Rattus norvegicus: one gene and its partners. The protein of the gene in region 1 interacts with the protein of each later gene in a pairwise test. Links are inferred from orthologs where the notes say so. Each region holds a gene or a part of one and is shown in the gene's direction. Other genes may lie near its edges. The genes, in order: Fam118a, Mob3c and Atox1.

Region 1 (3,657 bases):
AAGATATGTGCCACCACACCAAGGGGAACTGAGAACATTTTAATGTTCTTTTATGTCTTTTTTTTTTCTTCCGGAGCTGGGGCCCGAACCCAGGGCCTTGCGCTTCCTAGGCAAGCGTTCTACCACTGAACTAAATCCCCAACCCCGTTCTTTTATGGCTTAAGATTGTATATAAATCTAGGAGTTGACTTGGCGAGCCATAGGTCTACCATAAGCTGACTTCACTGTGAGGTGCATTCATGCTGCCCAGGTTGGCCAGTACATTGCCTCTCCTGGTTCTCTTTCTTTTCCTAGCTGAGAGATGGATCTCAGCCTAGCTTCACCAAGGGTTGCACACAGATCACTGCATGGGGTTGATCTGAGTATGTCAAGAGCTCCTAGTCTTCCTAGTACTCCTCAGTATGGCTCTTGGGAAGCCTGGTGGGTACAAGATAAGATATAAATGAACACAGGGGCCTTTATGTTAATTGTGAGATCCTGCTGATGATTTTCACTGGAGTGTCCTCTGTTTATTGGCTTTCTCCAGGAAGTCCTGCAAAATCTCTACCGTACCAAATCATTCCTGTTCGTGGGCTGCGGAGAGACACTGCGTGACCAGATATTCCAAGCGCTCTTCTTGTACTCTGTGCCAAATAAGGTGGACTTAGAGCACTACATGGTAGTGCTCAAGGAAAATGAAGACCATTTCTTTAAGCATCAGGCAGATATGCTTTTGCATGGAATTAAAGTAGTGTCCTATGGGGACTGTTTTGAACTTTTCCCAGGATATGTGCAAGACCTCGCCACTCAGATCTGCAAACAGCGAAGTCCAGGTGCGGAGTTCTGTCATTACTTTCCAAGCAGAAATCATGGGTTCTTCCTTTAGCTGTTCCACCTTGTATTCTATAAGATTTACCAATCTAGTTAATTTTTAATCCTTCTGAGTTTAAAAGTAGAAAATGGAGTGATTGGTATAGGTAACAATCTGTAAGTAGAACTTGAGAACTTGCTTCAAACGTGGGACACAGTGATCCGAATTACAGGTTACTGTAGCCAAGAAAAGCCATCAGATCAGTGTTACTGACTGTGATAGTGTGTTGGAAAGTTTATGAGGCTTCCATTTTTTCCCTCTCACTGCACATCTCTCTGGGGTGTGAAGCATCTCATTTCTGCTCTTTGGCCTTTCTTGGGAGGGGGAGGGTGTCACAGCTTTGCCAGGAAAGACCAGATAGTGAGAAATGCTGATGAGTCACTTTTACACAAGGGAATTAATGGCTTTGACTTCAGTGTCATAAAACATGAGTGATAGCAAGCGTGGAAAGTTCTGTATTGACTGGCTTTTTGTGGTGACAGGGAACCTAGATGCTCACCAGGGGTGGAATGAGGTTAGCACCAGTGAGAGACAGACACAGTAGAGCAACCATGAGTTTCCCATACTTTAGCTGCTAATAATTAGTAGATGATTTAAATCATGAGTAGCTGTGTAACAAGATAGTAGTCAGTTTCTTACTGGGAGTGGGAACAGAGAATTCATGTCATAGAGCCATGCCATGAACAATAACACTTTATTATCTTCTTTGAGGCAAGAGTCTCACTATGGATCTCTGACTGTCCTAGAACTCACTATGTAGATCATGCTGGCCTGGAACTCATAAAGACCTGTTTGCCTCTGCCTCCCATGTGCTGGGAATAGTAGCCTGCATACCAAGTTCCACTGCCCTTAGTTTTTAATTCGGTGCTTGTGTTATTTAGGTGATTTTAGAGATATCAGCCGAGAGGGGTGAACATTTGCCCTGTGTGTGCCAGAACTTTGAAGTTAGGATTTGATCCTGGACTAACATGTACAAAGATGTCTTGGTACCAGATGTGGGCATGGATCTTCCAAGACCTCCCTCTTCTGAGATCTCCCAGCTCTTTCTTGTCCATAATCATGACTCCCTGGGAGCCCAGCATCCAGCCATTGAGTGTGGGTACCTAGAGGAAGCAATTGAACCACTGATGCTCCTTTTCCGGGACCGGGCAGCTACCAGAAGAGTAAAAAGTCATTGAGGCTTTCATCTGTGCCTGTCTTGAAGGACATCTGAGTTTCTTTTCTCTCTTGATGGGCAAGGATGCCTACTGGCTGAAAGTGGCATTAGCTGTTGTGATGTGTGCCTCACTGTGTCTATAGTCCCAGCAGCTTCCCATGCCACTCAGTGAGTTCTGGCATCTATCCTGCCAGGTGAAGAAGGGAGAGAGACAGGCAGGGATCCATGGTATCCAATCCATAGAAGCCTGGCCAAATCAGTGGATGGCCTCAGGGTAGTCTTTGCCAATCATTCTAGGCCTGGGGAGGATGAATACTCCAAGCTGTGACTCCACTGACTATTTCTTTTTTTTCTCAGATGCTGAGCGAGTAGACAGTACCACCTTACTGGGTAAAGCAGATCTTGACTTTTCTCACCTGATTTTTGCTTGCATGTTCTATTCATCACCATGAAAATGTACCTTACATTCAATAATTTGCCTTATTAAATAGGACAGAAAGGACAGATACCTCTACCTTTAGATGGTCCCCACTACGGTAAAGGCACAAAAGTCCATCCCCTCCACTGGGAAGCACAGCCTAGTCATGGACTGTCTGCTGACAGCAGAGAATAAATTCTGCCCTAGAACCAAGAGTCACAGGAAATAAGAGAAATGTTCTATTTGTATTATGCTATCAGTAAAGGATCCAGTAATCTAGGGTAACCTGTTCGTTAGCAGTGTGTGAACTTCTATATAATTTTTTCTTTTAATACTTTTTTGAAGTGTGAACACTCTTGCTGAGTTTGTAAAATTGATGTTTCAACAGCTACCAGCATCTTCCAGAGGGCAAATTAACCAGGTGTCTCTACTGCCTGAGTCAGTCAGGCTAAAAGGGGTTCCAGTCAGTGAGCAGGAGCTCTAGTCAGCCCTGACATTGCTGCCTGTTGGGCCAGTGTGTCCAGACAGACAGAGTGTGGCAGTGTAGGGACAGCTAGTGCCAGTCTGAGTCAGTGGTGGGAGTCTTGACTCAGTCCAGGAGTGGGAAGAACTATATTCTGCTTTCCGTGTCTGCATAAAAGGATATTTTTGCTGTAGTTTAGATATGATTCCCAGAATCTTTGAAAGCAGCAGTAACTCAGTTGATAAAACATGCAGTGCTCTGCAGGGAAACCCTGGCCAGTGCCCAATAAAGTCAGGTTCAGAAGCTGGCTCCTGGAAGTAGATTCTATGATAGTGGGTCAGCCTGAGGAGGCTTTCCATCACAGTGACAAAATACTTTAGAAAACGAAAGGACTCACTAGGTTTCAGCAGGTGGTCACATGGCTCTCTTCCTATGCATAATAAGACAGAGCAGAGTACAGAGAAGAGGCCAGGGACAAGACATGCCTTTCAAATACATGCTCCCAGTGCCCCGCCCCCCGTTCTCCAATCAAATCTTTCTTACAGCCCATTCAGTACAGACTCAGTGTGAGTTACATGCTGTGCTGTATAGTGAGAATGTTTGGTTGTTGGAATTGGTTGTTTGAATAAGAGATCTCCCCTAAATCCTAGGCATTTGAACATTCGATCTCCAGCTGCTGGTGGTGGTGTTTTGGGAGGCTTGGGAAGTGTGGCCTTGCTAGAAGTATGCTGCACTTCCTGGCACAAGGTACAAGCTGACCCAAATGGTTT
Region 2 (3,257 bases), on another chromosome or scaffold:
GCCTGTCTGTGTCCTGTGCTGAAGAGGGGTAAAGACTGCCTGTGGGGAGGGGCAGAGTTTTGCCCCTAGGATTTTGATTCCTCTTCACTCATCTCCATCCCTAGGAGTTCCCTTCCCCAAGAACTTCCAGCAGGTCTGCACCAAGATCCTGACGAGACTCTTCCGAGTCTTTGTCCACGTCTACATCCACCACTTTGACAGCATCCTCAGCATGGGGGCGGAGGCACATGTCAACACCTGCTATAAGCACTTCTACTACTTCATCCAGGAGTTCAGCCTGGTGGACCAGAGGGAACTAGAGCCGCTGGTAAGGCCATGTCTCACTACCCTTCTCTGCCAGTGCTCTCTCTTGATCCCCAGATGGATATATGAGGGGAGACAACTTGTCTAACAGTGGATTCTGTACTCTTACAGAGAATTCATGGAGATGTCAGTGTTCATGGTTGCAGCTGAGGTTGGGGAGGGGTCAGACTCAGTAAACCCCGTGATTTGACAAGGAGTTGCCCGTCGGCAGGCTGAGGTCAAAGTAACCCTTCCTTACTTTGTGTCTCTACAGAGGGAGATGACAGAACGGATCTGTCACTGAGTCCAGATCTGGATGTTGTTGCCTCTCAGGTGGACCATCTGAACACAGCGCAGCTGGGAGAGGGGACCCTTAGGAGCCTGCTGGCAGAGAAATGTGAAGGCCTACTGAAGAGCAGGCACCCTCTCTAGACCCAACACCTCTGGACTTCTCAGAAGTCTGTCTGTGTGTCCCAGAATGCATGGAGAAGGGAGGACTTCAGGTGGGCAATAGAAGAAAAGGAGGAGTTTAGTCCCTCATATTAAGTCCAAGAGTAGGGTGAGGCAAACAGGTGTCTGTTCTGATACTTCATTTCCACCCTACCATGACGGGTCCCAGATCCATCGGGGAAGATGGATGTGGCCGAAGTGATGGCAAGAAAATGATAGAGTGAGTGCCTGTACCTGAGCATGCAGGTGTGTGTGTGTGTGTGTGTGTGTGTGTGTGTGTGTGTGTGTGTGAGAGAGAGAGAGAGAGAGAGAGAGAGAGAGAGAGATTGGTTGTGGGATTTGTCTGAGAGATCCAAGTCCTTCCAGACACATAGTAGGCCCTCATGATGGATGGATGGATGGATGGATGGATGGATGGATGGATGGATGGATGGATGGACAGGTTGACTGTAAGTCCATGACCATTATAGGAGTAATGACAGCTTAGTGACCCAACCCTGACCGTGTGTACAAGTGTACAAAATGTGTGTGTGGATGGAATTATACCTCTGAATCTTCTAGACTGCCATCTCCTACCAACATGAGTCCCTGGCATTTGAGTGGAGGTTAGACAATGCAGCTTTGCCCTGAGTTCATTAGATCTCTGACCTACCACCATGTGGCTGATTTGCTCAGCCAAGGATGTCTATGAATTGTCAATTCACTCATCTCTGCCTCCAGAAGGGCCTGCTATCATTAAGCCTCTGAGCCGGGCGGTGGTGGCTCACACCTTTATTCCCAGCACTTAGGAGGCAGAGGCAGGTTGGATCTCAGAGTTCGAGGCCAGCCTGATCTACAGAGTGAGTTCAAGGACAACCAGGGCTACATAGAGAAACCCTGTCTCAAAAACAAACAAAAAAGCCCAAATGGTAAGCCTCTCGAGGGTTGGGATTGATCCCTCAGGGTCCCATGGATTTTAAACTTGGACACAAGATACTTCGATCTCAAACCCAGAACCTACTGACATGACTTAAGGCCAGCACAAAATAGCCCTCCAGACCAGGAAGCCACTGGAACTTGAATTGGAGAATCCAGAGTCTTTTCTTCTATCTCAGGAACTGAGGATCATGTAGCTGATGGAGACCTTCCCATCCTAAAAACACCTGCCTCAGCCCAACCTCCTGATACATTCAAGGCTTCTTGAATTCCAAGCACATCTATCTGAGGGGCTGGGATCCTCACTCAGTAGCCATTACTCAGTATCTCCATGCTGAGCCTTATACACAGACTCACAGGTAGGGGGACTGGCAGAAATAGGTTTTGCCCTTTCAGAGCCTGTATCCCCAAAGGCCAGGATGGGAATAAGAAGTCACACAAGAATATTGTCACTGTCTCTCAGCTTGCATCAGAGGAAACTGAAACCCGTTAAAACTCCAAGGCTCTTCTTGACTTCTACTCTCAGGCCTTCTGATTGTGACACCAAGATGCACGTGCAAAGAGAAGTCGTCAGACACTCTCCGGGACACAACTGTTTCTGCTTTGAGTAACGATTTCTAGCCTGCTGCCAGGAAGCCCTGCCACACCCTGCGTTTGGCTAGAGTTGGATGCTGAGGCAAACCTCCAAAACCAGGCCCCTTCTTATGTCTGAGGAACTGCCTTGCCTTCCAGAGAGACAACTGGGGCTCTCTAGGGCAACAGGACCTGGAATGTCCCCAAGGGAAACATGCTGGCCTGCAGCCTTGGCAGTGTCTCAGAACTGAGGACAGTAGGAGATTCCCCCACGATGGGCTGCAGAATATATTCTGAAATCTAGGCTGTGAAAAGGGACCATAGGGGTGGGGAGGGAAATCTATTTTTGTGAAAGAGGAAAGATTTTGCTATTTTTTGGTAAAATAAAAGATACAAACTAAAGCAACCACTGGTGGGAAGCAGTGTTCTGGGTGCCACATGGGTCTTTGCGGATCACAGGAGAGACCACAAGTGGGACTAAGAAGGCATTCTGTCCTAAACTCCTAAACCATATGAGCGCAGTCATGACTGACTAGCTTCCCAGTGTGAGGACACCCAAATACTCCCAGGGCTCCAAATTGTAGACTAAGCTAAGTTAGAAGCTTGAGCAGGGGATGGGAGGACAGTGCAGGACTTTGCCTTCAAGGTACTCATTGGGAGGGGGAAATCTTTCCTTGTTTTGACACTGGCAATCCCAGTTCATATTCATGGTGGTTTGGAGGAACCGATGGCTAAAAACATAGTAGGAAATACAGCCACAACTCCAATCACAGAACAAGAAACCCCTTTCAGTCCAGAGCATCTTCCCCAGTAGACAGCTAGAAGTCACTGTCCCCAACCACAGCCTCCCAAGTAGGAGTTAAAAGCAGCTTGGTCCTGGAGATTTAACAAAGGTCCTCTTATATCTTCAAAAGAGCCAGCAGGGACTCTACCTAGGAGGCAGAGACCTGAGCTCCTGGCCTTCCCTCTGTAAATCACTTTCTATCGATTGGTCAGAAGTGGTAGGCCAGCAAGATGGCCCAGTGACTAAAGGCACT
Region 3 (2,925 bases), on another chromosome or scaffold:
AATCCCAGCATTCTAGAGGCAGAGGCAGGTGGATCTCTGTGAGTTCCAGACCAGCCAACCTGGTCTACCAAGTGAGTTTCAAGACAGGTGACACAGAGAATCCCCATCTTAAAAAATGAAAACCACGAACAATCAAAAATAAACAAACTAAGAACTAGGCCTGTCATCACACTACACAGGAAGCTAAGACAGGAAAGTGACAAGCTCAGACCTCCCTGGACTTTAGAGTGAGTTTGCAGAATTCAGAGCTACTCTGGATAGCTTAGTGAGACCTCCTCAAAATAAAAAGTATCAAGAAACCTGGGGATGAATGAAGCTCAGTGACAGAGTGACAGAGCTGGGTGTGTCTGATGCCCTATGTACCAGTAACACACACACACACACACACACACACACACACACACACACACACACACACACACACAAAGACTAGGGAGCCCCAAGGCTCCAATGGTAGGATAGGCACGTGAGACCCAGTACCACATTAAGAGAGAGACAGAGACAGAGAGAGCACAAGCATTAGATACTCAGTGAGAAAGAGTGAGTTTATTTTGCCCTCTGACCATCACACACACACTCACACACGCACACACACTCACACACACACTCTCGCACACTCACACACACACTCACACACACTCACACACACACACTCACACACACTCACTCACACACATGCTCATTTTCCTCACTCACATGTACTCTCACTTATGCTCACTGACACACTATCTACCCTCCTTACACTCACATTCATCCCCCCATACGCTCACACACATACACACGCTTGTATACAGATTCTTTTCACACACTTGTTAACACACACTCACCTATGCTCTTATTAAAATATAATAAAATTTTGAAAAGAAATAAAAGGGATTGGAGATGAGAGCACTCACTGCCCCTGCAGAGGAGCTGGACTCTGATCTCAGCACCATACAGTGGTTCACAGCCCAGGGAACCGACGCTCTCTTCTGACCTCCATGGGCACTGCACCCGTGCGGTACACAGATATACGTGCAAGAAAGCACTCATATACATAAAAATAAGTAAATTGGGGGCAGAGAGGATGCCTCAATGGTTAAAGGTATGCACTTCTCTTTTTTTTTTTTTCTTTTTTTTCGGAGCTGGGGACCGAACCCAGGGCCTTGCGCTCGCTAGGCAAGCGCTCTACCGCTGAGCTAAATCCCCAACCCCGGTATGCACTTATCTTGTAGAGGACCTAGCACCCACATCTTGTGGCTCATACCCACTTAAAACTCCAGACCCTACACCTCTGGCCTTCAGGGACACCTCTACTCATGAACATACCCACACGCAGGCCCAAACATATACATAATTTTTTTAATGTTTTAAATAAGATTATAAAGAAAGGGAAGGAAGGCTCTGTGTTACTAAATTGGGAGGTTGGCGTGGGCATAGAAAAGTGAAGTAACAGTGATGGTAGGACTGGGGAAGTGGGGAGGAGGGAAAGAGAGGAAGGAGGGAAGAAAATTCACCTGTGGGGCTGAGGAAAGAGCTTAGGAGTGGAGTGCTCGACTGGGACTTGAAGCCTTGGATTCAAGCCCCATCCCCACAACTCCTTACACATGGATCAGAGCCTGCAGCAGAGCCTGCCATGCTCACGGTACCTAAAACAGAAAGAGCTTGCTGCTCCCTGGCTCCTGGAGAAGCCTGGTGTTTCAGGAATAATTTAGGAGGTTGACCTCTTTGTTCCAGTGAGTGGAGGGGTCCCGCTTCCCCCTCCTACATCCCTCCTTCTCCCTGCAGGAGTGGAGTTCAACATTGACTTGCCCAACAAGAAGGTCTGCATTGAGTCTGAGCACAGCTCAGACATCCTGCTGGCAACTCTCAACAAAACAGGAAAAGCGGTCTCCTACCTTGGCCCCAAGTAGCCAGGACCTGGGCGAGTCCTTCCGGATAGAAACTGAAGAGGCAGGTGGGTGAAGTCCAAACCATTGTCAAACAAGCCCGTTGCTTCTTCTGGGATCCCTCTTCTGAAAGACTTGAGCCCAGAAGCAGTTCAGACTGTAATTTGAGATTTGAAATCTTTGCCTAAATTCACCCAGAGGGCATCTGTAATAGAAAAACCCCAAACCTTCTCATCATTGAGTTGGCATGCTCTAGTTTTAGAGCACAGTGCAACTGGGATTCCTGGATTTGAGGTGCTCAGACTAAGCTTGGGCTTCTGGAGTTAGGTAGGAGGGTGCCCTGATGTGTTCAGCCCACTGCCCCACTCTGGAAGGGTCCAAGCACATCATTGTCCAGTACAAACGAGAAGTTCGGAGGGCTTGAAGGCCTCCTGGGAGCAGACAGAGCTCCATGTTATGTTCCCAGAGTCCCATGGTACCTTGCTTGGTCAGCGTGACTTAAGTTTAAAGTGTGTGACCCTTCTGGAATGGTGAGCCTCTTACTTTGGTGAAGGGACAGTCCCTTCACAGGGACGCCTATGTTCCAAGCCTGTCACTCCCGTGCATGAGTTCATGTTCACCCTGCCTTTCCTTCCACTTGGAGCCGGACGTGGATCCAGCCCAGCCTCGTAGAGCCAATGGCCCGTCTAAGCTGTCTTCCTTCCACCTTATGGGTCCCAGGGAGGCAGGAAGTGGACCAGTGCCAGTGCCCTTCCATCAGGAAGCAGGACAGTTGCCTGCCCACCTAGCACTCCTCATTGTGTCCAGCACTCTTGCAGTGTGCCTGACACATGAGTTACTGTGGTCACTTTGGTGGTTTGTGTCCTCTTTGGGACTGAGAAACATGAAGCCTGGTGAGTGCAAGCGTCCTGACCAGAGCCCCACGGAGGTGGGTGGCAGAGGAGGGAAGGAGCCAGGCCGTCTGAGCAAATGTGTGAATGATAGTTACAGTAGCACTAACTCTATCAGTGACCCATGAGGGCCCCTGGCAGATGCCAGCCGTAATCGACTGCGGGTA

The links.
Region 2: the proteins of Fam118a (region 1) and Mob3c interact in binary tests that used the Homo sapiens proteins (3 or more experiments, as listed by UniProt). The link is inferred for Rattus norvegicus from reciprocal best matches to the Homo sapiens genes FAM118A and MOB3C.
Region 3: the proteins of Fam118a (region 1) and Atox1 interact in binary tests that used the Homo sapiens proteins (3 or more experiments, as listed by UniProt). The two-hybrid records come from large-scale screens. The link is inferred for Rattus norvegicus from reciprocal best matches to the Homo sapiens genes FAM118A and ATOX1.

The regions. Positions count from the first base shown.
Region 1 is NC_086025.1:118,049,255-118,052,911, forward strand, and holds part of Fam118a (protein FAM118A), read left to right. Parts: intron 1-526; coding exon 527-812; coding exon of another isoform or gene 813-865; exon of another isoform or gene 866-2,363; coding exon 2,364-2,396; exon of another isoform or gene 2,397-3,657.
Region 2 is NC_086023.1:134,549,392-134,552,648, forward strand, and holds the end of Mob3c (MOB kinase activator 3C), read left to right. Parts: intron 1-104; coding exon 105-307; intron 308-556; coding exon 557-586; 3' UTR 587-2,626; downstream 2,627-3,257. UniProt on the Homo sapiens protein: May regulate the activity of kinases.
Region 3 is NC_086028.1:40,067,754-40,070,678, reverse strand, and holds part of Atox1 (copper transport protein ATOX1), read left to right. Parts: intron 1-1,767; coding exon 1,768-1,892; 3' UTR 1,893-1,936; exon of another isoform or gene 1,937-2,925. UniProt on the Homo sapiens protein: Binds and deliver cytosolic copper to the copper ATPase proteins. May be important in cellular antioxidant defense.